Linked DNA regions of Drosophila melanogaster. The protein of the gene in region 2 interacts with the protein of the main gene of each other region in a biochemical or structural test. Each region holds a gene or a part of one and is shown on either strand. Other genes may lie near its edges.

The links.
Region 1: of the proteins of faf (region 2) and par-1, one has a biochemical effect on the other in vitro, tested with the Drosophila melanogaster proteins (one study listed by BioGRID).

The regions. Positions count from the first base shown.
Region 1 is NT_033778.4:19,460,674-19,473,066, forward strand, and holds the start of par-1 (par-1), read left to right. Parts: upstream 1-6,792; 5' UTR 6,793-6,968; exon of another isoform or gene 6,969-7,140; intron 7,141-8,116; 5' UTR 8,117-8,297; coding exon 8,298-9,665; intron 9,666-9,923; coding exon 9,924-10,139; intron 10,140-10,198; coding exon 10,199-10,419; intron 10,420-10,535; coding exon 10,536-10,817; intron 10,818-10,878; coding exon 10,879-11,072; intron 11,073-12,145; coding exon 12,146-12,258; intron 12,259-12,322; coding exon 12,323-12,393.
Region 2 is NT_033777.3:31,775,198-31,787,262, forward strand, and holds the start of faf (fat facets), read left to right. Parts: upstream 1-1,822; 5' UTR 1,823-1,985; intron 1,986-2,045; exon of another isoform or gene 2,046-2,367; intron 2,368-2,440; exon of another isoform or gene 2,441-2,554; intron 2,555-2,974; 5' UTR 2,975-3,268; coding exon 3,269-3,561; intron 3,562-4,162; coding exon 4,163-4,311; intron 4,312-4,365; coding exon 4,366-5,579; intron 5,580-5,705; coding exon 5,706-7,619; intron 7,620-7,721; coding exon 7,722-9,087; intron 9,088-9,145; coding exon 9,146-9,569; intron 9,570-9,634; coding exon 9,635-9,950; intron 9,951-10,017; coding exon 10,018-10,171; intron 10,172-10,234; coding exon 10,235-10,385; intron 10,386-10,447; coding exon 10,448-10,756; intron 10,757-10,819; coding exon 10,820-10,931; intron 10,932-10,991; coding exon 10,992-11,101; intron 11,102-11,160; coding exon 11,161-11,512; intron 11,513-11,570; coding exon 11,571-11,830; intron 11,831-11,949; coding exon 11,950-12,065. Other genes in the region: CG2126 (uncharacterized protein), read right to left, coding at 154-305, 362-496, 551-723, 787-999, 1,052-1,185, 1,248-1,355. UniProt on the Drosophila melanogaster protein: Ubiquitin C-terminal hydrolase involved in development and the imd/NF-kappa-B (IMD) signaling cascade. Required for eye and embryo development, and plays a role in compound eye assembly and oogenesis respectively.

The DNA.
Region 1 (12,393 bases), on a different chromosome or scaffold from region 2:
CTAGTCCGTTTTTTTGGGGGCCTTGTTCATCAACCCATCTCTTGTTTGCTCCTGCAATGTGGCTTGGGTCATCAGTTTTCTTGTGGTCCATTTATAGAGGGTATCAAGGGAAGGTAGCCTGTCGAAGGTGAAGTGAAGACTCTTAAAGTTTCAATCAGCTTGTTGAATAAGAAATACCATACTGCTGGATATAACTGATTCGAATCTAAGCTTCGCCTTCGTGTGTGTCAAATGTGTCGTACGAAAAGTAACGCTGTGTTTTGTCAGGTGGGGGAAATTTATATATAAATGCATTTTAAAAACGTATTTTAAAAATCATATCATATATCAGAATTATAAATCTGTCTGCTTATACAGTAACGTTTAGTTTTCTGAATTTTATCTAGAATAACTGATGTCTCATATTATGAGTAATCGAAACCTCGTATACATCTCATTGTTTTTCTTACATATATGTATCATCATCACTGTGAACACAGTTAAATAAAATCTATATCGTTGTGTACCGTGCTACAGTTTTAAATCGACAAGTTCAGTGAACTCCTTTAACACGACAAATGGGTTGGTATCCAAGAATATTCTATATCTGGGACCTATTTAATGAGTTGGACATATAAAAATATAACTGTCACCTTATTTACCTTTTTACGAAAACTTTGGGTGGTACTGTTACCGTTTATTTTGGGTACTTGATAATTGGTAGTTTAAATGATATACGTACATACTAAATGAGTGGACTTTGCTTCATTCGAAAAACTAAAAGTCTGAGTCAATACAGCTGACGACGTCCATTCAGAAGTGCAATTATAGTATTTAAACAATTCTCAATAATCACATCACGTCGGTCGTTCTATCTCCTCTCTGTTTCTCTGCCTTTATCTTTGTTGTCCACAACAAATCCGTGTGATTCGTACTCCTCTCCGCACAATCATATAACTGTTTTGATTTTAAATAATTTTTTGCCTTAGTTTGTGTGTTTGTATCCGACATGCATACACTTGAATAGTTTACGTGGTGTAGGTAAATAAGCTTAACTAGTTGCCTTTGTGGACGTTAGGTGTGGAATCGTGAGTGACTAACTTATAACGTCTTTTCTTTGGCTAGTTATATCCTCTTTAATTCCTTCTTCTTAGTGTGATGAAGATCAAGATGATCATATACTTATCCGAAGTTTTACAAAAGTTGTTGGGTTTCTATCTTGTTTTAACTTCAATTTTATTGTTTTTATAACACTAAAAATATTACAAAAATTACATTTTTAAGGTTATCTTAAAAAATGATTTGTTTTACGCATGGAATATTCATTTTTGACAGATTCTTTTCAAATCTTTAAAGATTTCGATTCCTTAAGAAGCTACATACTGGAATCTTTACTTCTCTATCTTGGAATTTCCAGTGGAAGTCTTTTTAAATTATGCTGAGTTGATGTTTATGTGGGCTTTAAGCTCGGCTCGCAGACAGGTTCCCAAACTGGGGATCCCTTTGCCAAAGCTCTTCCGAGTTCTCTCTCCTTCTCTTTAAAGTTTTTCAATGTTTTTCGAGAAATATGTGTGGTTTCTACCAGTTTTTTTGAGTAAGTGTGCATGTGTGGGTGTATGAATCACCTGCACTTACCTGCAGATTGCATACGATTTTCATAGGGTGTGTCGTTGTTGTCTTGGAGTAGCTACAGCAACAACAACAACAACGACCTTCCCAGACGCAGAACTTTGGCAAAAATGCCAAGCTCGCTCGCTCGCTCGCCACATCCACAGAATTACAATCCACAGTGGCGGCAGCCACAATGGCAAAAGTAGCCAGCATACAGCAGCGATGGTCGAAAGCTTGTTTTAGTATTAAGTTCCACTTCATTCGTGTGGTCACCGTCGTCGCGCTGTTTTCTGTTGTCATTAACCGTCGCTCTCCGCCGATATCGTTGCTATATCGCCTAGCCTGTATCGTTATCGCCCCGCGATGAGTTGACTCCCCTGGTATTCTTGTTGTTATTTTTGTTACTTTCAATTTATAATTTGCCGTTTGCCATTGTGACCAGTTATTATCGCACAAGCACAAGGGCGTTACGTCAAACAATACAAAACGCGAAAAATAAAGAAAAAAACAACAGAAGTAAGGCGAAGAGATTGCAAAAAAGCTGAAGCGCAGTTGTCATCGTTGTGATCCGAATCCAAATCGCAGGCGTTACAACATCCGCGATAAAGAACAACGTCACTGGCTAATCCGATCAGCTAAGCTCACTTAGAATGAAATCAAGGGCATGAGTACGCAGCTTAAAATAAACCGAATTGACGTAGGAAAAGTCACAGTCGCTCTCACACTCTAACTGACTAAGTACACACGCACGTGTGTTTATAAATAAATTCGGTTAAATAGTGTTTAATTTATAAATTTCCAGCTTGGACTCGCTGTGTATGAGTGCGCATATAAATGTGTGTTTGTGTGTGTTTGTGTGTGTGTGTGTTGCAGTTCCAGTGAAATGTATCCAGCTTTTTTTGAGCCAACCACTTCAACTCGCAGATACATTGAGAAATGAGCCAATTGCGGGTGATAAGTTAATTTAATTATAAAGTACGGTATGACAAGAAATACAAAAAAAAAAAAAAAATGAAGAAAAACAGTAGTAGTGCAAGCGAAAAGAACGAAAGCGGAATGAAAAGGAAAAAAACGAACAAATTCCTACCCAAAACACACACGCGCAAAAGCAACAGTCGCTGTGCGCTAGTGTGCGTGTAAGTAACGCTTAAACGAGGTAACTAGCAGAAGAATAGCAACAACTACTGGACAGAGGGAAAGAGTGACACGGGGAAGCGTAGAGAGCGAGAGGGAATCACAGAAATAGCAACAGCAATGTGTGGGGCTTCATCGTTGTCTCTTTAACGCTTATTTTGTTGTTGTTGTTTTTGTTGCTGGTCTTCTACTATCTGTGTATCTGCGTATCTGTATCGGGCGTGCCAAGGCTTACGATCCACAAACCGCACAGCGACGGACTCTCAAATACACATTTAGCCATTCAAAAGCAAACCCAGCTGGAACGGTTGTGGAACTTATCGCGAGTGTCTTGTGTCCACAAAAAAAAAACGGAGACACTCACACGGAGAGAGATGTGTAAAGTGCGATAACTGATAAGAGACATGTGTTGTTATCTAAAAGCACCCACCCTTCACTTTTTAAAACCCCCTTACGCGTCATGTAAGCAACAAGTTTACAAATATCCTAGAAGAAAGCAAAGATAACATATTCTTCATGCACAGAGACACAAATATTTAGCAACACTTATTAGTCCCAATTTTAAACTTTTCAGAAAAGAATTTACAATTGTCATATAACCATAAATTTGTGAATGACAAGACTAGATACGTTCATATAAGATTCAAAGATATATGTGGTACTTTCATATTCAACAAGAAAATTTAGTTGTGCTATTCAAAATTCTCCATACCTTCTTTAACTGAATAAGCGGCTTGCTTAATGGACCTATCAGTTCTTATGATTGTTATTGTTTTACTCTGTGCATTGCGAATCCCAATTATTTGTGCTCAGTAAGATTGGCACGGTGAATGTGTTTGCAATTTAGTGACCGAGAGACTGTGACTTTTACTGCGATTGCTTCTCCAATGTTCACTCATTGTGCTCTAATAGAATTTAACAAGATGGTCTTTTCGAAATAAAAGCGACAAAGCTGCGCCTGAATTGTGATTGTTGTGCCACAAAATACACAAAACGAACAAAATTTATTCATACTTTTATGCACACGTATACGCGCGCATCTCTCAATGTTTACACACGAAATTCGCTGTGATAATTGCCAAAGCGAAGAACGAGGGAATATGTGTCTCAGTTTCGTTGCAACTGGGCCAATAATCCGTATACCGTGAACACCGAGTCGCGTCGAGAACGAAGAAATACCACCGCAACCCAACCACGAAACAACCAAGTGAACCACCCACCGCAAAACCACCAAAGCACCTACCATGGGCCAGACTTCCAGTCACCGGCAGATGCACCACAGTAGCAATAACAACAACAAGGAGGAACCACCACAACCGGCTTCACAGTTTGGAAATCGTCGAACCTCTACCCGCAAATCGACTTCGTCTTCGAAACATTACCCCACATTGGTGCAACCATTGCGTAAGGATGAGCTCTCTCTCCTGCGAGATTCACTTCTGCGCAATGGAAGCATTATGCGCAAGAACCCGGAACGTCGTCCGGTAACGATCAGTGAGCTGAAACCAGTTAATACCGGGCAGGGGACTTCGGGTAGTGTCCTGCCTATTACAGCAGAGGATGCTGCTGGTGGGAGCAGTAGTAGCATCACCCAACTAATGGCCTTCCAACTGCCCGTGGATCGAAGTGCCAAGACTGACGACCTGGCTGCCGAATCCTCGGCTTCAGCAGCAGCAGCTGTGGCGCCCAAGGAGGGGCGCAATGAGTTTTATATTGTGGGAGATGGCTATCATCGGACGGATCACTGCTACTATCGCAGTCCCAATGGCGATTTTCACAAACTGCCATCCGACTCCTTTCACAAGATGTCGGAGGGCTGTTTCGTCCGAATGGCCGATGGGGTCTTCCGTCGCCTGGAGGTACCCACCAAGGCTCAAATATCCCGAAGATCCAGCAGGGCAGAGGAAATAGGCGATGCCACAAGCCAGGGAAATGGAAGTGCCGCCACCAATGTTAAGAGCCAACTGATGAGATTTCTAAAGCGCTCCAAGAGCCACACGCCCGCCACTATTGCCAAGTTGCAGCGGGAAAAGGAGGAGGCCCGAGCGGAACGCAAGCAACGGCTATCGAACGCCCTGCGGCAGAAGAATCTAGCGGCCACAAATGCAGCCTCAGCTGCGGCGGCGAACTCATCCTACGCAAGCGGTGGTGGTGGTGGCACCGTAAGCAGTCGGAACAATAAGATTGTGGTGACAATGATCGAAAACGGCGGCTTGCCCATTGTGGCCACCAGTAAGGCGGAAAGGCCCAAGGCCAAGGAGTCGGCATCATCCAGTGACAAGGCTCGCAACTCGAGGGTATGTAATATTGGATATAAATTTATCGATATTATCGATGGTTGCTTACATTTTATCGAAATCCATCGACGGTAACGGTAACCCGTTAGATACTATTGCATAATTAATATAATAGAAGATATAGGAGGATTTATATTGGGAGCTTGCGATATTGGCAATTATGTGATTTAGAAACTTTCCTAGGCTCTTGAGCAAAACTACACTTGACCTTGCTACTTCATTTCAAAAGAGTGGGGCAATAAGGTTATATTTGTTGTGATTAAAGTTTGTCGGTCTCTCACACTTCCCCATTCATTTATGAACATTGCAAATTTATCGTTGTTGTGCTGCCACCTTCATTCAATCTAATCGTAATCGCTGTTTCGTTTTTGTCTGTATCTGTCACGGTTTTTGGTTTTTTTTCCACAATCGAATGAATAACGATTTCTATTATTTTGATTACGGATTTTGTTTAATTTCAGATTTTTGTTACCCCACATTGAATTCCTATAATCCATATGGAAACTAATATATATTTTCAGTCTAATCGCACAAGTGCTACATAAAAACCCAACGCAAATACGTTTAAAGATTAGGGGATTATAGGGATTACGGGCTCTCTGTTTCTATAACTATACGATTGCATTGTCCGGAGGACAAGTTCATAATAGTTGACCTCATTAGATTTTCCTGTTAGCTAGCATGCGAAAAATGAAATTCTATCTTTAATGTTTTTGTTTGGGACCTGAAAGGCTTGACTGAAATCTCGCTGTCTTGTCTTAATGTAGATTAAGCTGCAAGTTATTCAATTAGCTTAATTAATACGGACACTTTATACAGGCTCAGCTACTTGATACCTCGTATGAATAAATTAAAACCAAACTTGGCGAGTTACAAATTGACAGAATGATCGAATTTCATATGAGACACTTTTTGATATCTTAAAATGAGAGTTTCTCTATTTTCCAGATTATTTATTTTTAAGTATACCTAATGTGTTTCGTTTATGTCGTATCACTCGTGTCTCTATATATTTTATTCACAAATTTTATTGTGTCGGCTGACAAATGACTTACAATTATTTGACGACAAGATGTTCATAATAATGTTCTTTCGGGATTGCATTTTTAGTACCAAACTGTGTGTATTCCTCGGTCTTTGTATTCTGGTGATTGATATAGAGTAAAACAGGGGAACGGGGGAAGTTGATTAGTGAAATCTTCGCGACGACCGTAGAATTCCGACTCAGACTTCAGACATCATGTCCTTTTGGTTTTATTACTTAGAACTCTTACGTAATGCATCACCTAATCAACTGATTAACTTTAAAGGAAGCAGTTGAACTTATTGGGTAATTGATTGATTTTAATAGAAAACCAAAGTCCAACCGAATGTTACTTTAATCGCAGTAAATCAGGGAAGAAGCGCTTTGCGTAACTTGGTGGAACTTATATATTGCGCACATGCGCAGAACACTAAACCCTGCAGCAAACACGGCTAACAGTTTCTTTCCCAGCGTTACGCTCAGTGGTACTCGCACACTCATACACTCTCAAAACTTTCGAGCTCCAAACGGGGCTTCTCTTTGTGGGAGAACAAGTACACAGATGCAGATACGGATAGAGATACTGTATTAATGGTAGTAGTGCTCCACCAGTGGAGAGAGCTGCCCACTGATCGTGTGCTTGTGCTGGTGTGTTGGTGTATTAAGGCCGACGCCGCTGCCGCAGTCGACGTCGCTGCTCGAAGCGATTCCGTGCTTTTGGAATACTCCGCGCTCTCGCTCTCCGGCACTCCAGTTCCAGTTGCTGAGTGGCCAAGTGGCTCTTTGGCTGCTGAGCCCTGTTTAGCTTTGTTTTTCGGTGTCTTCTGTGTTTTGCTGTTTTTTGTTGGTGTAAATCGTATAGTTGTAGTCGTAGCCTGTCGACGACGTTTACGTCAGAGTTGCAGAGGAGGAGCTATAATTTAGTACGAATACCCAAACCCCCACGTAAAATGAGTGCGAAAAATTGCGAAAGCCGCGTGCCTCTGCGATAAGATAACCGTGTGTGGTTAAAGAACTCCTCCGGCCAACGAAACGAACCTTTTAATAATCGGGATTTGCGCGAAATGTGATTTTTTATAGTCCACAGACCAAGTGAAAAAAAAAGAAAGAAAATACTCACACACTATCAAACGACCAATGTATATAGCCTAACTGTGTTTTTCAGCAGTGAAAAAGTCGGCTCAATTGTCTAAAAGTAGTTCATTTGCTTCAATGTGTTGGTGCGACCGTGCATGTGTGTGTCTGTGTGTGTGCATTGGAGCTTTTCGCTTTGCTCACTGAAGCAGCGACGAATAAAAATGGAATATAACCAGCCAGCAACTAAACGACTCGTACGGACGAATTGTTCAGATACTTGTAGATCTCCACATCGTAACTATTTAGACAGTAATTAAAAGCAACAAAGGAAAATAGCGAAAAGGCAAATGAATCATAAAACTGAAAAGAGAGCGTGGGAGAGGAGGGTGGGGGTGGGGACAGGAAAAGCGTGACACACACACGAGAGAGAGCGAGGGCATCTCAGCTGAGCTTGTGCAACAGCAGTAGAAATAGGAGAGAGCAATTTAGAGAGAGACCGAAAACAAACACACGCACAAGAGCTCACCTCCACCACAGGTGTGTAGGTGCCACTTCGCTTTTCTCTCTCGCGCACTCTCTTTTGCTATGTATGTAATTGTGTGTTTAGGTATATTGCCCTCCCTTTCACATCCCCACATCGCCTGCCGTGTGTTTATTTCAGTGTCACCGGGGAGACAGATTAGCTCTTGTCCGCCTGTTGTCGTAAATATCACGCACACACGCTTCCCGTCCGCCCATCTGTACATACATATGTACATACGTAGAAATGGAAGTTGCTAGCTGTGTGTTTAATTCATTTTCGAGGTTTTAATGCGCAACAACTGCGACTTGTTGTGTGTTGGTTAGACGACAAAAAACAAACAAAAGTAACGTTGAGAATTTAGAAAGCCCAATGCAAACGAACGCACACACAAGCACTTACTCCTGTCGGTGTGAGCTGCATTGTACTTCCGAAGCCCCAAGACCAATTTAATAATTTTCCCCAAACTCACAGTGTAAGAACAATAAACACGCCAAGCGCAACTTGAAAAAGAAATAAGAAAAAAGAAAAAGTTGCGATCTCTCCGAGCAACAAGTACTTGTGCACCAACACACTCAAGGGAAGAGTGCCACGACAAAAAAATTTAAGAGAAAAAAAACAGAAAAACCGAAATCAGCAGCAAAACGGAGGAGCTATGGAGGCCACCACTACCACAACACCTGACTTGAATCGCGGCGATGCCACCAGGAAGAGTGTCCGGCTGTATGCCGCCCGCAAGGGGGCGGCACCTGCGCCGCCCAAGCTCAGTGTGGCGCCATCTAGTAACCAGAACAGCAACCACAGCAGCAACAACAACAATAGCAGCAGTAACTTGCCGGAAACGGAAAAGGAAATGGAACTGCGTCAAACACATCTTGCCAACAAGGATCTCGATGGAGCCACCGAAGACGACAGCATAGTGGAGCTTCGACGACGTGATGCCCAAGCCACTCCATTGCCCAGGATAGCCGTATCGGCTCTACCCACCCTACAGCCGCATCCCACGCCCAAAGAACGCCAAAAGCCGCCAATGCCACGCCTTCTGTCCACCGAAGACGATGCCGGTGTGTCCTTTGCCCTCGGCTCCATCGAGAAGCACATCCATAACGTGGAGGAGAGCTTTAAGCAACAGCAGCAAAACCAACAATCCCAATCATCGATGGACGTGATGAAACTGGAGATCAAGCGCAAGCAGAGCAAGCGCTACGGTGAAACGGAAAACCTTCTGCGACCGGGCATTAGTGACATGTCCTCCGAGAATGATTTTCAGTATTTGGGCGGCAGGCGGGCAGGAGAACTGGATGACAGCAATGAGCTGATGTTATCGGAATTCCAGCGCGGCAGCGATGGTCGTAACTCGATCGGAGCCTATTCCAAGAACTCGGCTGCTGCCGCAAACGGAGCAAATGCTGTGAAGGCTAAACTGGCACGTACTGCCTCCGATACGAAGAATAATGATACGGTGCTGGCCATGAGGGCCACTTTTAAGCAGAAGCAGCACTTGCAGGACGAGAAACAGCCAGCGGTATGGCGACCAGCTGGCACTGGACCCACTCCGGCGGCCAGGAGCTCCTCCTCCACCACGTCCACCTCCGGCTCGGCCAGTCGTGGCGGTAGCAGCAGCAGCGTGGTGGATGGAGTGGCTCCATCTAAGCTTACGGCCACTACCATTTCAGCGTCTAAGCGGCGTGAGGAGAATTTGCGACAATTTGAAGCTTTGTTGGCCCAAAAATCCTCACATCGTCATGGAGCATCTGGTGCCTCGGGAACAGGAAGTAATGCAGCCAGTTCGAAAAGACGTTCGGACCGGCCGATTGTGGCTCCTATTCCTCCGTACAATTCCAGTCGAGCAGAGCATGTGACCAGCTCGACCAGACACAGCGTTGATCCAAGATCCCATTCGGGACACGAGTCGAGGTCAGGAACAGCCTCAACTCACCCGCCTGTAGGACATCATCCCACTAGCCGCGTACCCAGCGTGGTGGCAAACCGCAGCAATGTGTACAGCAACAATGCTGCGCAGGTAAACGGGATAAAAACCAAAATCCATTTTTATCTACCATATTTCAATATAATTTTCATCATTTGGTTCAGAGAAAGCAATACCACTGTGGTTTAAAATCGCATTTAATATAACTATTAATCGTTAGCAATGCGGTTTTTAAAGGGTCATAAATCAGGATTGTCACAGAAATGTTGGGTTTTATATATAAATTATAACCGACACCTGATGCACACCAAAATACATAACTTTACTTACCCCTGACCATTGTTTTTACAGGGTTCGCCTAACATGCAAATGCGGAGTAGTGCTCCTATGCGATGGCGTGCTACTGAGGAGCATATTGGCAAATACAAACTCATAAAGACGATCGGCAAGGGCAATTTTGCCAAGGTGAAACTAGCGAAACACCTGCCCACTGGCAAGGAGGTCGCCATCAAGATAATTGACAAGACCCAACTCAATCCTGGGTCACTACAGAAACTCTTTAGAGAGGTTTGTACTTAGCTTAAAAGAATACCTTGACTTATTTACTAATCGTACTCTGCCCACAGGTTAGAATAATGAAGATGCTGGATCACCCCAACATAGTTAAATTGTTCCAAGTAATCGAAACGGAGAAGACGCTCTATCTGATCATGGAGTACGCATCTGGCGGAGAAGTCTTCGACTACCTGGTTCTCCACGGACGCATGAAGGAGAAGGAGGCGCGAGTTAAGTTTCGACAAATCGTCTCAGCCGTGCAATATTGTCATCAAAAAAGAATAATTCACAGGTAAGAGTAATCAATGCTAATTAAAATCAGATGATTTATATAAACAGGCTAGGACAAACCAAAGGCCCATTATTATAGTTGGCACCTTATTAACCGGAATTATTTATTTATAACAGGGACTTAAAAGCTGAAAACCTTTTGCTGGACAGCGAACTGAACATCAAAATCGCTGACTTTGGCTTTTCGAACGAGTTCACACCCGGCTCAAAGCTGGACACGTTCTGCGGTAGCCCGCCATATGCGGCACCGGAGCTGTTTCAGGGCAAAAAGTACGACGGACCGGAGGTCGATGTTTGGTCGCTGGGCGTCATCCTGTATACGTTAGTGAGCGGTTCCCTGCCCTTCGACGGCTCCACCTTGAGGGAGTTGCGTGAACGCGTGCTCAGAGGCAAATATAGGTAAGTGTTGCAAGATAAAATGAAAGTAAATGGAACTAAACCAAACCGCTTATCCCCACAGAATTCCCTTCTATATGTCGACTGACTGCGAAAACTTGCTCCGCAAATTCTTAGTACTGAATCCCGCAAAGCGTGCTAGTCTGGAAACAATCATGGGCGACAAGTGGATGAACATGGGGTTTGAGGAGGACGAACTCAAGCCCTATATTGAGCCCAAAGCCGATTTAGCCGATCCCAAGCGGATAGGTAAGACGGGTACTGTATACAAAATTTATTACTAATATTATTAACGAATTGTGTGTGGAATGGAGTTTTGCCTGCCAATTGCTCGTTGTGTTTTATTGCTGTTATCAAGCGATCTTTGTTTATGTAATGTAATACTACTAGTTCCTTTGTAAACTCTTTCTTTATCAACTTGTTTTCATTTTGTAGTTGAATGTTGCTTACAGAATTCCTTTTACTTGGGTTCTCCCAGTGTTGCGTTATCCTGATGTTTGTATTTTAAATTCAATTACCTTCATGGTGTTTTGTTTGTAAATTCTCACATAGCTGCGGGGTCACAAACCGGTGCCAAGAATTCGCTCTCGATTCGGCGTAGTGCGTACACCTTGATGTTAATGGTCAACTTTCTGATCGACGAGCGGAAGGGTCCACCTAAAAATGTATGCAATCTGTGTAGTGGAAACGTTAACGCTCGATCCCCAGAGTTCCGCATTAACCCCCAACTCTCTGTTCTCTTTCTCACTTTCTGTCCTCAAAATTCTACATACAAACAGACCGTCAAGGAAGATATCAAACCAGCTCAAGAGAACGGATAATCTTAAAATTAAATCAATCTTGAACAGCCAGCCAAGGGAAAATCGAATTTTTGTTGTATGATCTTGTTATCTTTTATTGATTTTTATTTTACTTGTTGCGAGTGTAAATATCTGCTGATATGTGCACAAATATACGAACAAACAAATAAATGAGGTTCTCTGAGATAAATTCGAGATTGCATCCGGTTTGGGTCCTGTCACGCCGATGATAATTGTATTATTTAATTTCGCTAACTGCATGATCTAAATACATACATATATACCTGATTTCTTTTTATCCAACGTTCTTACTGCCAATTGTTCAGTTGAAGGCCAAAAGAACACACAATTCCGGCTACTCGACATCGAACTATATCAGTTCGAGTATCGGTGATTTCATAGCCAAATATATAATGTAACTGTAATAAATTTGCATGCGTTACCTAATCGTATTAAAATCTCCATTGAATGTCTTTAAAAACCTTTCACTCACAATCAAATTGTCTGTCATTTTCGCATCGCGATGTTTAGAAGCTCTAGTCGCGATGGGCTACAATCGATCGGAGATCGAGGCTTCGCTCTCCCAGGTGCGCTACGACGATGTTTTCGCCACATATTTGCTGCTGGGTCGCAAGAGTACAGACGTAAGTTGGTGGCCTTCACATTCCGAACAACAGAAGTGCTAAAAGACTATTTCCTTCCACGCAGCCGGAAAGTGACGGATCGCGGTCTGGCTCCTCGCTCTCACTGCGCAACATCTCGGGTAATGATGCGGGCGC
Region 2 (12,065 bases):
CTTTTAGAGCCGCAATTATACTCGGAACAGGTCTGAGTCTGAGCTACATACTAAATGTAAATAAATTAATTGACGCGTACACTACACATAGATAACAACAGTCGATCGACGAGTTCCCCGGGCGTGAAAAATTTGCATCTGGACGTCGCCGCATCAAATTCTCGACTCCAGCTCCCGGAACTCGGCAGGATCCGTGAAACGTACGGTCAAAATATAGAACAGTGTGGGGAAGGGCACCAAGCACATAAAGGCATAGTGGTAATTCAGGGAGGTGAGGCCGTAGGCCAACAACATCCAGTGCACAGCTGGGAAAGTAAGCTGCTGGTATACTTTATGTATGGTGAATGCGCACTTTGCTTACCTATGATGACCACGTTTTTTAACTCCCACACCGACGAGTGAACCAATGCCTTTAGGGTTTGATCCAGTTTGAGGGAATAGTGGATGGCATTGGCTACCATGGATATGGCCACGCTAAGGTACGGAAAGGAGTAATCTGAAAAAGAAAAGATCTCAAGACCAAAATATTAGCAAGCACTTAAGTACTCACAGATCAACCCACATCCTAACGCATGGATAAAGGTGAGCAGGGGCAGGAAGTAAAGAGCCGAGTAAATCGGCGCCTTGCTTCTGCCCCCCACATCCATAATTTTGCTGACTAGCGGGCGTATGAGAAACATGTTCACCAGGCACAGAAAGTAGAAAACCAGCACGATGGTTTGCCTGGAAATTGAACATTAAAGTGACTATTGTGAACACCTGGAGCCTTGGGTGGCTGGGTCTTACAATGGGTAAACTGCCTCCTGGGTGCAGTAGACTCGTGCCTCATAATTGGGGCTGGGGTTGTAAAACAATGTGTACCAGTCAGTAAGTTTTCGAACATCACAGGCGTAGAGGCGCAGCTCCCACATGGGCTCCATTAGCAAGGTGGCGAGGATGGCAGATATGGCAACCTCAACGAAAGCGCTGGCCGTCAAGATCAGCTGCTTCCGCGAAAACCTATGTGAATTCACTAAGTAAGTTCTTCTTCCAGTTTGATTAGTTCACTCACTTGCGATCCTTGGCGTCCATGTCAATGAAAAAGCAGTGCATCATAAGTGGCAGCATGGTCATGAATCCCAGGTATAGCCAGGAGTACGTGCTTAACTCGTCGCGGCATGGAGAGCATGCGTAACTTTGGTTCACCTGAACAATATAAAAGTAAATTATTTTCCAGGCGCCGTTCCGAAGGATGCTAGAACATTAACCCGAGATCCTCTGGGACAGACCCCGCAGCTGCTCCAGCTGTTGTTTCCTAGCGGTGATCGCCCACAGTAGGCTCCTGGGCAGCGTTCCAACGCGTCGTACATTCTCATGAAATCAAAACAATTACTTCGTATTGTATATTACATTAAACAAAATAAAAACAATACTCCTATCGATATCGGACTTATCGTTATCAGTAGGACCACTGAATAAACGAATAGGTTGTTCGTGCACTTAAATTAATACTAATTTATAAAATGATAATACATCAGAAGCACATGCGAAATGTATTAAAAATAAGGAAATTATTTTCTACAGATTATATAATGGGCCCTAAGACTGCTTTCTAATTTGATCAAATTAATAATACTATATGTTTTTATATATTTATTTACAATTAAACATGACTAGTAGAGTGTACATTCTTACAGTGCATTTCAATGATTTGATTTTATTTGAAATCCCAATTGCCAGAAATTTAAATTTAGGGTCCCTTATATGTACCACATAAACCAGTTCGATAGGCGCGCTTTTGGCATGGCCTGATAACTCTGGTAAAAAGCACCGCGCGAACCGGTTCAATTCATAACTAGTTCGCCCGAACTGCACAACCCTAGCAAAAGAAATAGCTTAAATATAATTTATTTAACGCGAATTGGACAACGAGCGGGTAGAAAAAACCCTGTGGCCGCAACCGCGACGCTCGCAGGATACGCAGCTCTTCGCCGTCGGGCAGGCAGGTAAAAAGCAATGGCAATTGGAGTTGACCGCAGAACAACAGCAACGGCAGACGCCATTTTGTCTATTGGCCGGCTGATTTGTAAGCTCAATATTCGCGAAATAGTTACCGCGACTAGCTTCGAGTGGCGCAGCCAAGTAAGGGCTCCCCGCTGTCCAGAGCAAAGGCGAAAGGAAGAGCAATCGCCCATTTTGAGGCCTGCGAAAAGTTGGGACTCGGTCGTCAGTTCGCTCGATTCCATTTGCGAAAAATAAATGTACGTGCGCGTGAGGAAGTGTGTGTGCGCGTGAAAAAACAGTGAAAAATAATAAAAAGCCGCACTGGCCGCCGTCCTTGGGTGACTTCCGTTAATCTCTTACAACTTTTAAAGCTATAGAAAGAATGTGAGCAATTTACCGCCCTCGACACACCCAATGAACCGCTAATTTTGGCATCTTTCTATAACTTTATGCGTAGTTATTTTCACCACCCTTCGCCTACACCCTTTCCCCGCCCCTTTTTCCACCAGTGGCTCCCACCCACCGACCGACATTCCGCTTAAGGATGATGCCGGGCGGAGAGAGATAGAGAGTGAGTGCAAAATCCGTAAACTTGGACGTGATGTAATTTTCGGCAGGAAAATGTTCTTTGTTTGCCCAAAAAAATAACAATAAATAAATAAGAATGAAGAGCGAGGCGTAAAACAAAAACAATTTTAAATTAAACTCAAACGCACACACAAAAAGAGAGGGTTCTGTGGGTGAGCGTGCGTGCGTGTGAGTGGGTGAGAGCGTAATTTGTGTGCTTTTGGAGCATTATTTGGCGCTTGCTGCCCCGTCTATTAAATAATATTGATTTTTCATATTCCAACCCAGCGCTCTCTTACACACACGCAGGACCACTCACACACCCAAAACTGAGCTTCGTACACATGTGGGCCTTTTCGGTCTCTCTCTTAGCGCTGTATTTATCCGCCTCTTATTGCCTCTTTCGCTTCGTTGCACTTTATAGATTTTTGCAAACTGGCCGCTGACCAGGCATTGGGAAAAAGGACAATAAGAGGGAGCCCAGAGCAAGAAGTCCAACTAACCGACCAACTGTGCCTCAAGAAACAGCAAATCAGCGGGGAACTCCCAAACTGGACAAGCAGAAGCCCGGATACCTCACATTTGCCATAAGACACCAGTCAAAAAACGACGCGCACTGCAGAACGCATTAGGATTAGCCCGGCACTAGAGCTCGTGCATTAACATCCGCTTCCGGTGCTCCGCAGAACGAGTTGGCTGGAGAGGATACCCCGCCACCATGACGTTCGACACTCGTAGGCACACCACCGGACAGCCGGGAAGCACAGCGCCCAGCTCAAGCAGCAGCACCACCAGCACAACAACCACCACAACGAGTCCGGCGCAGAGTGCCGGATCAGGATCGGGCATAGGAACAGGCACAGGAACAGTCGCCAACTCGAGTCTGCCAGGAGGAGGATCAGGTAGCTTGGACGGCAACCAGGATCAACAGCCGGCCACAGACAGTCAGAGCTCTGATGACGTGGCCGCTTCCTTGTCAGCGAACAGCGTGGACAGCACCATCACAATAGTGTAAGTGGTCGTGCTGCCGTATTTGCATGACTCCGCCCAATTAGTCGGGTTTTGTGCGTAGCACCAGTATGACCGCCACCCCTAAAGATCCCCAACATTCGTGTGTTTACTTTTGCGTAGTAATTCTTCCACATGCATTCTTTGTTTGTCTATGGTTGGGCCAGCACAATGTTCGTAATTCATTTAACTATGTTTCAGATGATTTTGGCCAGGCCACTGGTTAGTGACCATAAATGTGGCAATAAATGTTATCTTTCTTTTTCTTCGATAGGTGCACTTGGCTGCTGTCCAGTTTTAGCAATGAACTTACCAAGCTTTACTAATATTACCTTACCCGGCTATTACTATCTCATTTTGAATGCCCGTCCACGGCCTATCTTATCGCTTGTCCATCAAAATAAGCTAACACTGAAAATTACAAAAAAAAAAAAAAAAAAAATGTATGCGTTTTGGCATTTATTTTAATAGAAATAACCATTTAATAAACAGAAATGTTTATGGAAGGGTGTGCTTTGATTGACCCCCTAAGAACTTTTTTTTTTATGTGTATTATTTAATTTGTTATTTTTAATATTGAATAATTGTCCATTTAATTAAATAGGCCTCCAGAGAAGCTTATATCCTCGTTTCCCACGACGAAACTGAGATCACTAACGCAAAAGATATCCAATCCGCGTTGGGTGGTGCCGGTGCTGCCTGAACAGGAATTGGAGGTTCTCTTAAATGCAGCCATCGAACTGACCCAGGCTGGTAAGTGTGTCCAAACGATTTATTTGATACCCTCTAAAGTCAATTTATTTGCAGGTGTGGATCACGACTGCGAGCCATGTGTGGAGTTTTATCGCAATGGACTGAGCACTTCCTTTGCCAAGATCCTAACCGACGAGGCGGTGAATTCGTGGAAGAATAACATCCACCACTGTATCCTTGTGTCTTGCGGCAAGCTTCTACATCTAATCGCCATCCACATGCAGCGAGACAATCCCTATCTGCTTGACTTGCTGGCTATTGTTTTTGATCCGGAGAACAAGTTCAACACATTTAACGCAGGCCGTCAACCGGAGTGCTTCGCAGCGCCGGACTACATCTGGGGTCAGTTGGACAGCAACAAAATGTACGCCCGTCCGCCGCCGGAGCCCAAGAATGCGCGTGGCTGGCTTGTGGATCTTATTAACCGCTTCGGACAGTTGGGAGGCTTTGACAATCTACTGGAACGGTTTAACATCGGACTGGAACTGCTGAAGCGCAACCAAAACAAGTGCACTGGCAAGAATATTAGTGTCGAGGGTAGGGTTGAAAATGGGGCTCAGGATAATCGCCTCACCCTTGCCCTCATACACAGCCTCTTGCGTCCATTCGGTCAATGTTATGAGCTTCTAATGCCTGCCACTATAGCCAAGTACTTTATGCCCACCTGGAACGTTGTGTTAGACCTTCTGGACAGCTTCACAGACGAGGAGTTAAAGCGAGAAGTGAAACCTGAGGGACGCAATGACTACATCAATGGGATTGTAAAGTCAGCCCGCTTACTGGCCAGCCGCTTGACTGGCCAGGAGGAGCTAATCCGAGATCTTGAGATGTTTCGCCTAAAGATGATCCTGCGTCTGCTGCAGGTGTCCAGCTTCAACGGCAAGATGAATGCCCTTAATGAGATCAACAAGGTGCTCTCCTCGGTCGCATATTTCTCCCATCGATCCCAACCTTTGCCCCACTGTATGCCCGAAGACGAAATGGACTGGCTGACGGCGGATCGCATGGCGCAATGGATAAAGTCGTCAGATGTATTGGGTGTCGTGCTCAAGGACTCGCTACACCAACCGCAGTATGTGGAAAAATTGGAAAAGATCATCCGCTTTCTTATTAAAGAGCAGGCACTAACGTTGGATGATTTGGATGCAGTTTGGAGAGCGCAGGCCGGCAAACACGAGGCAATCGTGAAGAACGTTCACGATCTACTGGCCAAACTTGCATGGGACTTTACTCCCGAGCAACTGGATCACCTCTTCGAGGCGTTCCAGGTGAGTTTTCTGCTTTAAAAGTGTATTAAGTAAGTTTAAGTTTTAAATTATGATTATTACATTTTCCGCGATGGTTTGTATATAAAATCTCATGAACAATGAAAACAATATTAATTTTTATTTCAGGCCAGCATGACCACTGCCAATAAGCGGCAACGGGAAAGACTTCTTGAGCTAATACGCCGCTTGGCTGAGGATGACAAAAATGGTGTGATGGCCCAAAAGGTGCTTAAGCTGTTTTGGACTCTGGCCCACAGTCAGGAGGTGCCGCCAGAGGTGCTTGATCAGGCGCTGGGCGCACACGTTAAAATCTTGGACTACAGCTGCTCGCAGGAGCGGGATGCCCAAAAGACCATTTGGTTGGATAAGTGCGTTGACGAACTTAAGTCAGGCGATGGATGGGTTCTGCCCGCCTTGCGTCTAATCCGGGATATTTGTTGCCTATATGATACCACGACAAATCATGCCCAGCGCACTCAAACGAGTACGAATCGTCAGCAGGTGATTGAACGACTACAGAATGATTATTCCTTGGTCATTCTGGTCACCAATAGTTTGACTGCATACATGGAAAAGGTACGCCAAATGGTAACGGACTCACCAGGCCTGGATGCAACCAGAATCCTAATTGACGGAAGATTTCCGCATCACGTGCAAATAGCGGAGCGACTGGAGTTCCTTAAGTTCCTGCTGAAAGATGGACAGCTATGGCTGTGCGCAGATCAGGCAAAGCAGATTTGGCATTGCTTGGCGGTCAATGCAGTTTTTCCGGCAGATCGTGAGGAGTGTTTTAGATGGTTTGGCAAGTTGATGGGTGAGGAGCCTGACTTGGATCCTGGCATAAACAAAGACTTCTTCGAGAACAACATCCTGCAACTTGATCCGCATCTACTAACCGAAAGCGGAATCAAGTGCTTTGAGCGCTTCTTTAAGGCTGTCAATTCCAAAGAGGACAAGCTGAAGGCGATACATAGAGGTTACATGCTGGACAACGAGGATCTAATAGGAAAGGACTACTTGTGGCGGGTCATTACAACTGGAGGCGAGGAAATCGCCAGCAAGGCCATTGATCTACTTAAGGAAGTGTCGACGGCATTGGGCCCACGTCTGCAGGAGAATATCGCAGAGTTTCATGAAATGTTCATTGGTGAGTGCTGCTCCCGCCTGCGCACACACTATGGAAATATCGTTATATTGGGCAAGACGCAGCTGCAAGAGGAATTAGATGCCCCCGATCAGTCGGATAATACCAACGACGAGTCTAAAGATTCAAAAATGCGTTTCATCGAGGCGGAGAAGATGTGCCGAATTTTAAAGGTGCTGCAAGAATACGTAAAGGAGTGTGATCGTTCTTTCAGCGGCGATCGTGTTCACCTGCCACTTAGCCGGGTTACACGGGGCAAAAACACCATCTTATATATCCGCTTCCAGAACCCTGGCAGATCTATCGACGACATGGAGATCGTTACACACAGCAACGAGACGATGGCCGCTTTTAAGAGAAATCTACTTAAGCGAATCAAGGGAACTTCGACGGCCAACATAAAGGTTGATCTCTTCTATGCTAATGACGAGATGATCGGGGTTTCCGATGAAATAAACCCACTTTATCAGTACACTATCCGGGATAAGATGAATCTTACAGCAAAACTCACGCCCGTGGGTACGGGTCTAGCCAGCAGTCCCGACTCCTCGAGCGACTCGAGCACAGGATCTCCTCCGCGTCCCTGCCCTGACATGCAGCGTGTGGAGTCAGAAAGCACGCTACCCGGTGTGATCATCTCGCAAAACTACCAGTACACAGAGTTCTTTCTAAAACTGTACCAACTGGGCAGTGATCTCGAGCACGGTCGTCTTCGAGACAGTGCAAAAGTTTTACTACACCTGCTTCCCTGCGACCGCCAGACGATCCGTCAGCTAAAGATTATGTGCAAGGTGCCGAAGGCTGCCGTAACGGTGGCTGTGACGGGTGACAAGATCGCTAAGGATGAGGAGGAGAAACTGTACCCCACTGAGCAGGCGGGGATTGAAGATGAAGAGGTAAGACTATAGTTAGTCGAGTTAGTTCATTCAGGAAAGCTATAATGGTTATTTAATTTAAATTGTTTTCTGTATCAATCTCTTAATATCTCTTCTTTTTAGGAACACTGCACGCCAGAGCAAATGTTTTTGCACCCCACACCTGCTCAAGTGCTATACAACCTTAGTGTGTTGCACGGACTGCTGATTCCCGCGCTAGATCCACTAGGAGAAAGTGCCCTACTAGTGCAGTCTGCATGGATGCATTCTGGCTGCGCTCATTTCGTGCTGGAACTGTTGACCAAAAACAATTTTCTGCCTAGCGCCGATATGCACACAAAGCGTGCGTCCTTCCAGTGTGTGTTGAGGTTGGCAAAGCTGTTCCTGTACATAGTTGGCAGTGTATTGTCTCGTGTAGGCGATGAACCCATGATCTGCGACCTTGACAACGGATCCCGTTCCCAGGTTGACATCCTGAAGCAGAACTTCTCCACGATGCCCAGTAGCTCACAGGGAACATTGAGGGCGATCTCCGCGAAACTTGCTGTGATCCTTGCCCGCGAGATGCTTTCAGCCAGCCCAGAAGGTGATCGGTGCCGAACGCTATTTAGCTCCACACTGCAGTGGTCATGTCCCGACATTTCAACCATTAAGGCGGTAGTGCAACTGGCCTGGGCCTCGTCTTGCGGAAATCTTCAGGCTCTAGGCAATAGTAGCGGCGACTTTGAAGACGAGGTGATCGTGCCGGACGGGCAAGACTTTAGCATGTGCAAGGAGGCGCTAGAGGTTCTCACCATTTCGTTTATTCTGAATCCGAGTGCCAACGAGGCGTTGACTAGCGATCCGAACTGGCCAAAGTTCATCACCTCCATTGTTCTGAAGAACCCGCTTCGCCACGTGCGTCAGGTGGCCTCTGAGCAGTTGTTTTTGGCTTCTACCTATTGCGCTGGGGATCGGCGACCGTTCGTATACATGGTTAACTTGCTGGTTGGCGCGTTGAAGACGCTGGTTCCCCAGTACGAGTCAACTTGCGCTGAGTTCTTCTCGGTGCTGTGTCGGACCCTTTCTTATGGATGCATCTACAACTGGCCGCTGCAGATTAGCGAGGGATTGTTAGGCGATGAGATTAAGTGGCTGCAACGCATTCGCGAAAACGTCCACGCCACCGGCGACACACAAGTGCATGAGGAGCTCCTTGAAGGCCACCTCTGCCTTGCCAAAGAGCTAATGTTTTTCCTTGGCGCCGATTCAAAGGCGCAGCTGAACGAGCTCATCCACGAACTGATCGACGACTTCCTGTTCACGGCCTCTCGCGAATTTCTGCATTTACGGCGTCATGGCAGTCTACGGCAGGACACCGTCCCGCCACCAGTTTGTCGCAGTCCGCACACAATCGCCGCTGCTTGCGATCTCCTCATTGCCTTGTGCCAGCTCTGTGTTCCTAATATGAAGCTACTCACCAATACACTTATAGACTTCGTCTGCACGGGTGAGTGTTGGAATCGTAAGATCATTTCATGATTAAATGTTTCCTCAATTTTTTGTAGATACTGATCCGTTGCGCGAATGGGATTACCTGCCGCCGGTGGGCGCCAGGCCAACTAAAGGTTTCTGCGGACTAAAGAACGCAGGTGCCACTTGCTACATGAATTCGGTGTTGCAGCAGCTTTACATGGTACCAGCGGTCCGGGTGGGTATTCTGCGAGCCCACGGCGCTGCCACCACCGACGGCGAGGATTTCAGTGGCGATTCCGATTTGACGGGAGGCGGTCTTGGATCGGCCCTATTCTCGGGTCCCGCTTCTGCCCTAGTCAGCCTCCCCTCGTCGTCGTCAACTATCGAAGACGGTTTGCACGATGTGCGAAAGAACTATCACGTTGTGATCCTGAAACATGTGCAGGCCATATTCGCCCACCTGGGCCACAGTGCGTTGCAGTATTACGTTCCACGTGGTCTCTGGACACATTTTAAGTACAAAATTGTTTCATTGATTGGCATCACAATGATATTAATATATTATAATTTTTGTTTGCTAGGCTACTGGGAGAGCCCGTGAATCTTCGCGAGCAGCAGGATGCCGTGGAGTTCTTCATGTCCTTGCTTGAAAGTCTCGATGAAGGACTTAAGGCGCTAGGCCAGCCACAGCTTATGAATGCCACTCTGGGCGGTTCGTTCAGCGACCAGAAAATCTGCCAAGAGTGTCCCCATCGCTACTCCAAAGAGGAACCATTTAGTGTATTTAGTGTCGATATTAGGAATCATAGCTCATTAACCGAATCTCTGGAGCAGTATGTCAAGGGAGAGCTGCTCGAGGGAGCCGATGCATACCATTGTGATAAATGTGATAAAAAAGTAATGTTCTCATCTCTGATATTCATATACAATTAATTTTTATTAACATCATTTTTGTGTCCAACAGGTAGTTACCGTTAAGCGAGTGTGCGTTAAGAAGCTGCCACCCGTGTTAGCCATTCAACTAAAGCGTTTCGAATACGACTACGAACGCGTCTGTGCGATTAAATTTAATGATTATTTTGAATTTCCACGTATCTTGGATATGGAACCATACACAGGTGAGTTTAACCGTAATTCCATACGTATATATCTTCTTATTGGATCTTCTTCTCCATGATCAGTGTCTGGCCTAGCTAAGCTAGAGGGCGAGGTGGTGGAAGTGGGTGATAATTGTCAAACAAACGTTGAGACGACGAAGTACGAACTGACCGGCATTGTGGTGCACAGCGGACAGGCTTCCGGCGGTCACTACTTCAGTTACATACTCTCCAAGTGCGTACCATAACAATGTTACAGTTTTTTTTAAGACTAATTCAATACAACACCTGCTCCAGAAACCCAGCAAACGGCAAGTGTCAGTGGTATAAGTTTGACGACGGCGAAGTCACCGAGTGCAAGATGCACGAGGACGAGGAAATGAAGGCGGAGTGCTTTGGCGGCGAGTACATGGGCGAAACCTACGACAACAATCTTAAGCGCATGCAGTACCGTCGACAGAAGCGCTGGTGGAATGCCTACATGTTGTTCTACACCCGCTGTGATCAAACTCCCGTGCAGTATGAACCCAGCGTGGAGCAGTTGTCACTCGCAGAAAGTCGAAACATGGTTTTACCATTGCCAAAGCCCATTGAGCGCAGCGTGCGGTGAGTGGAAATAGTGCTTGACCACTATACAGATACTTTTTAATTATTTTTTTTCGATTGCAGACACCAGAACATTCGGTTTCTCCACTCCCGCAGCATTTTTTCCGTGGAGTTCTTTAACTTTATCAAAAAGTTGGTCAGCTGCAATCTACTTTCTGCTCGGAGCAATAAGATCGTCAGTTTGTATTCAAGTGGTTTTATTTCCCGTTTAAAAAAACTATTATTTTTTTAACAGACTCCTGCTGCAGAAGAGCTTTCACTGCTGGGCGTCCAATTAGCATCGCAGTTTCTTTTCCACACCGGCTTCCGCACGAAAAAGTCTCTGCGAGGCCCCGTTATGGAATGGTGAGTAGCTTGGGAGGTATTGACTCGGGTATAATTAGGATACATCTTCTGCTTTACAGGTATGACGCGCTCTCACACCACATACGTTCCTCGGCACTAGTTCGCAAGTGGTTCGCTAATCATGCGCTCCTCTCGCCGCCATCGCGTTTAGGCGAGTACATTCTGATGGCTCCGTCTCCGGATGTCCGTACTGTCTTTGTCAAGTTGGTGGTTTTTTTCTGCCATTTTGCCATCAACGATGAACCTCTGACTGGCTATGACGGCGCTAATCTCTGCGAGCAGGTACTCATCAGCGTGTTGCGCCTCTTGAAATCCGAGGCAGCCGACTATGGCAAACACCTGCCCCACTATTTTAGCCTTTTCAGTATGTACGTGGGACTAGGAACACGGGAAAAACAGCAACTGCTTAGGGTGAGAACTATTTACAATAAGATTGCTTGCCATTCTAAACGATTATGTTCGTTTGCAGCTCAATGTGCCGCTGCAGTTTATTCAGGTGGCGTTGGATGATGGCCCCGGTCCGGCAATAAAATACCAGTATCCAGAGTTCAGCAAGCTACACCAAGTGGTTTCGCACCTAATACGCTGCAGCGATGTAAGCGAAAAATGCCAGAGCTCCAACCAGAACGCCCGTCCACTGTCCAATCCGTTCAAAGATCCCAATGTTGCGCACGAGGAGCTGACGCCCCTGTCCACTGAGTGCATGGACCTGCTCTTTAACCGCACGGGGTAAGGTGCATGGCATTTTACTGATAACTGTGCTCAGTTCAGAGAGCATTTCAAGCCATTTCCTTATGAAAGAAACGTACAGTGAGTGCTTACGATCCGTTTTGTCATTTTTTTTTCAGCTACATCAAGAAAGTGATCGAAGACACTAACGTGGGCGACGAGGGTCTGAAGCTGTTGCAATACTGCAGCTGGGAGAATCCACATTTCTCTCGCGCAGTGCTAACCGAATTGTTGT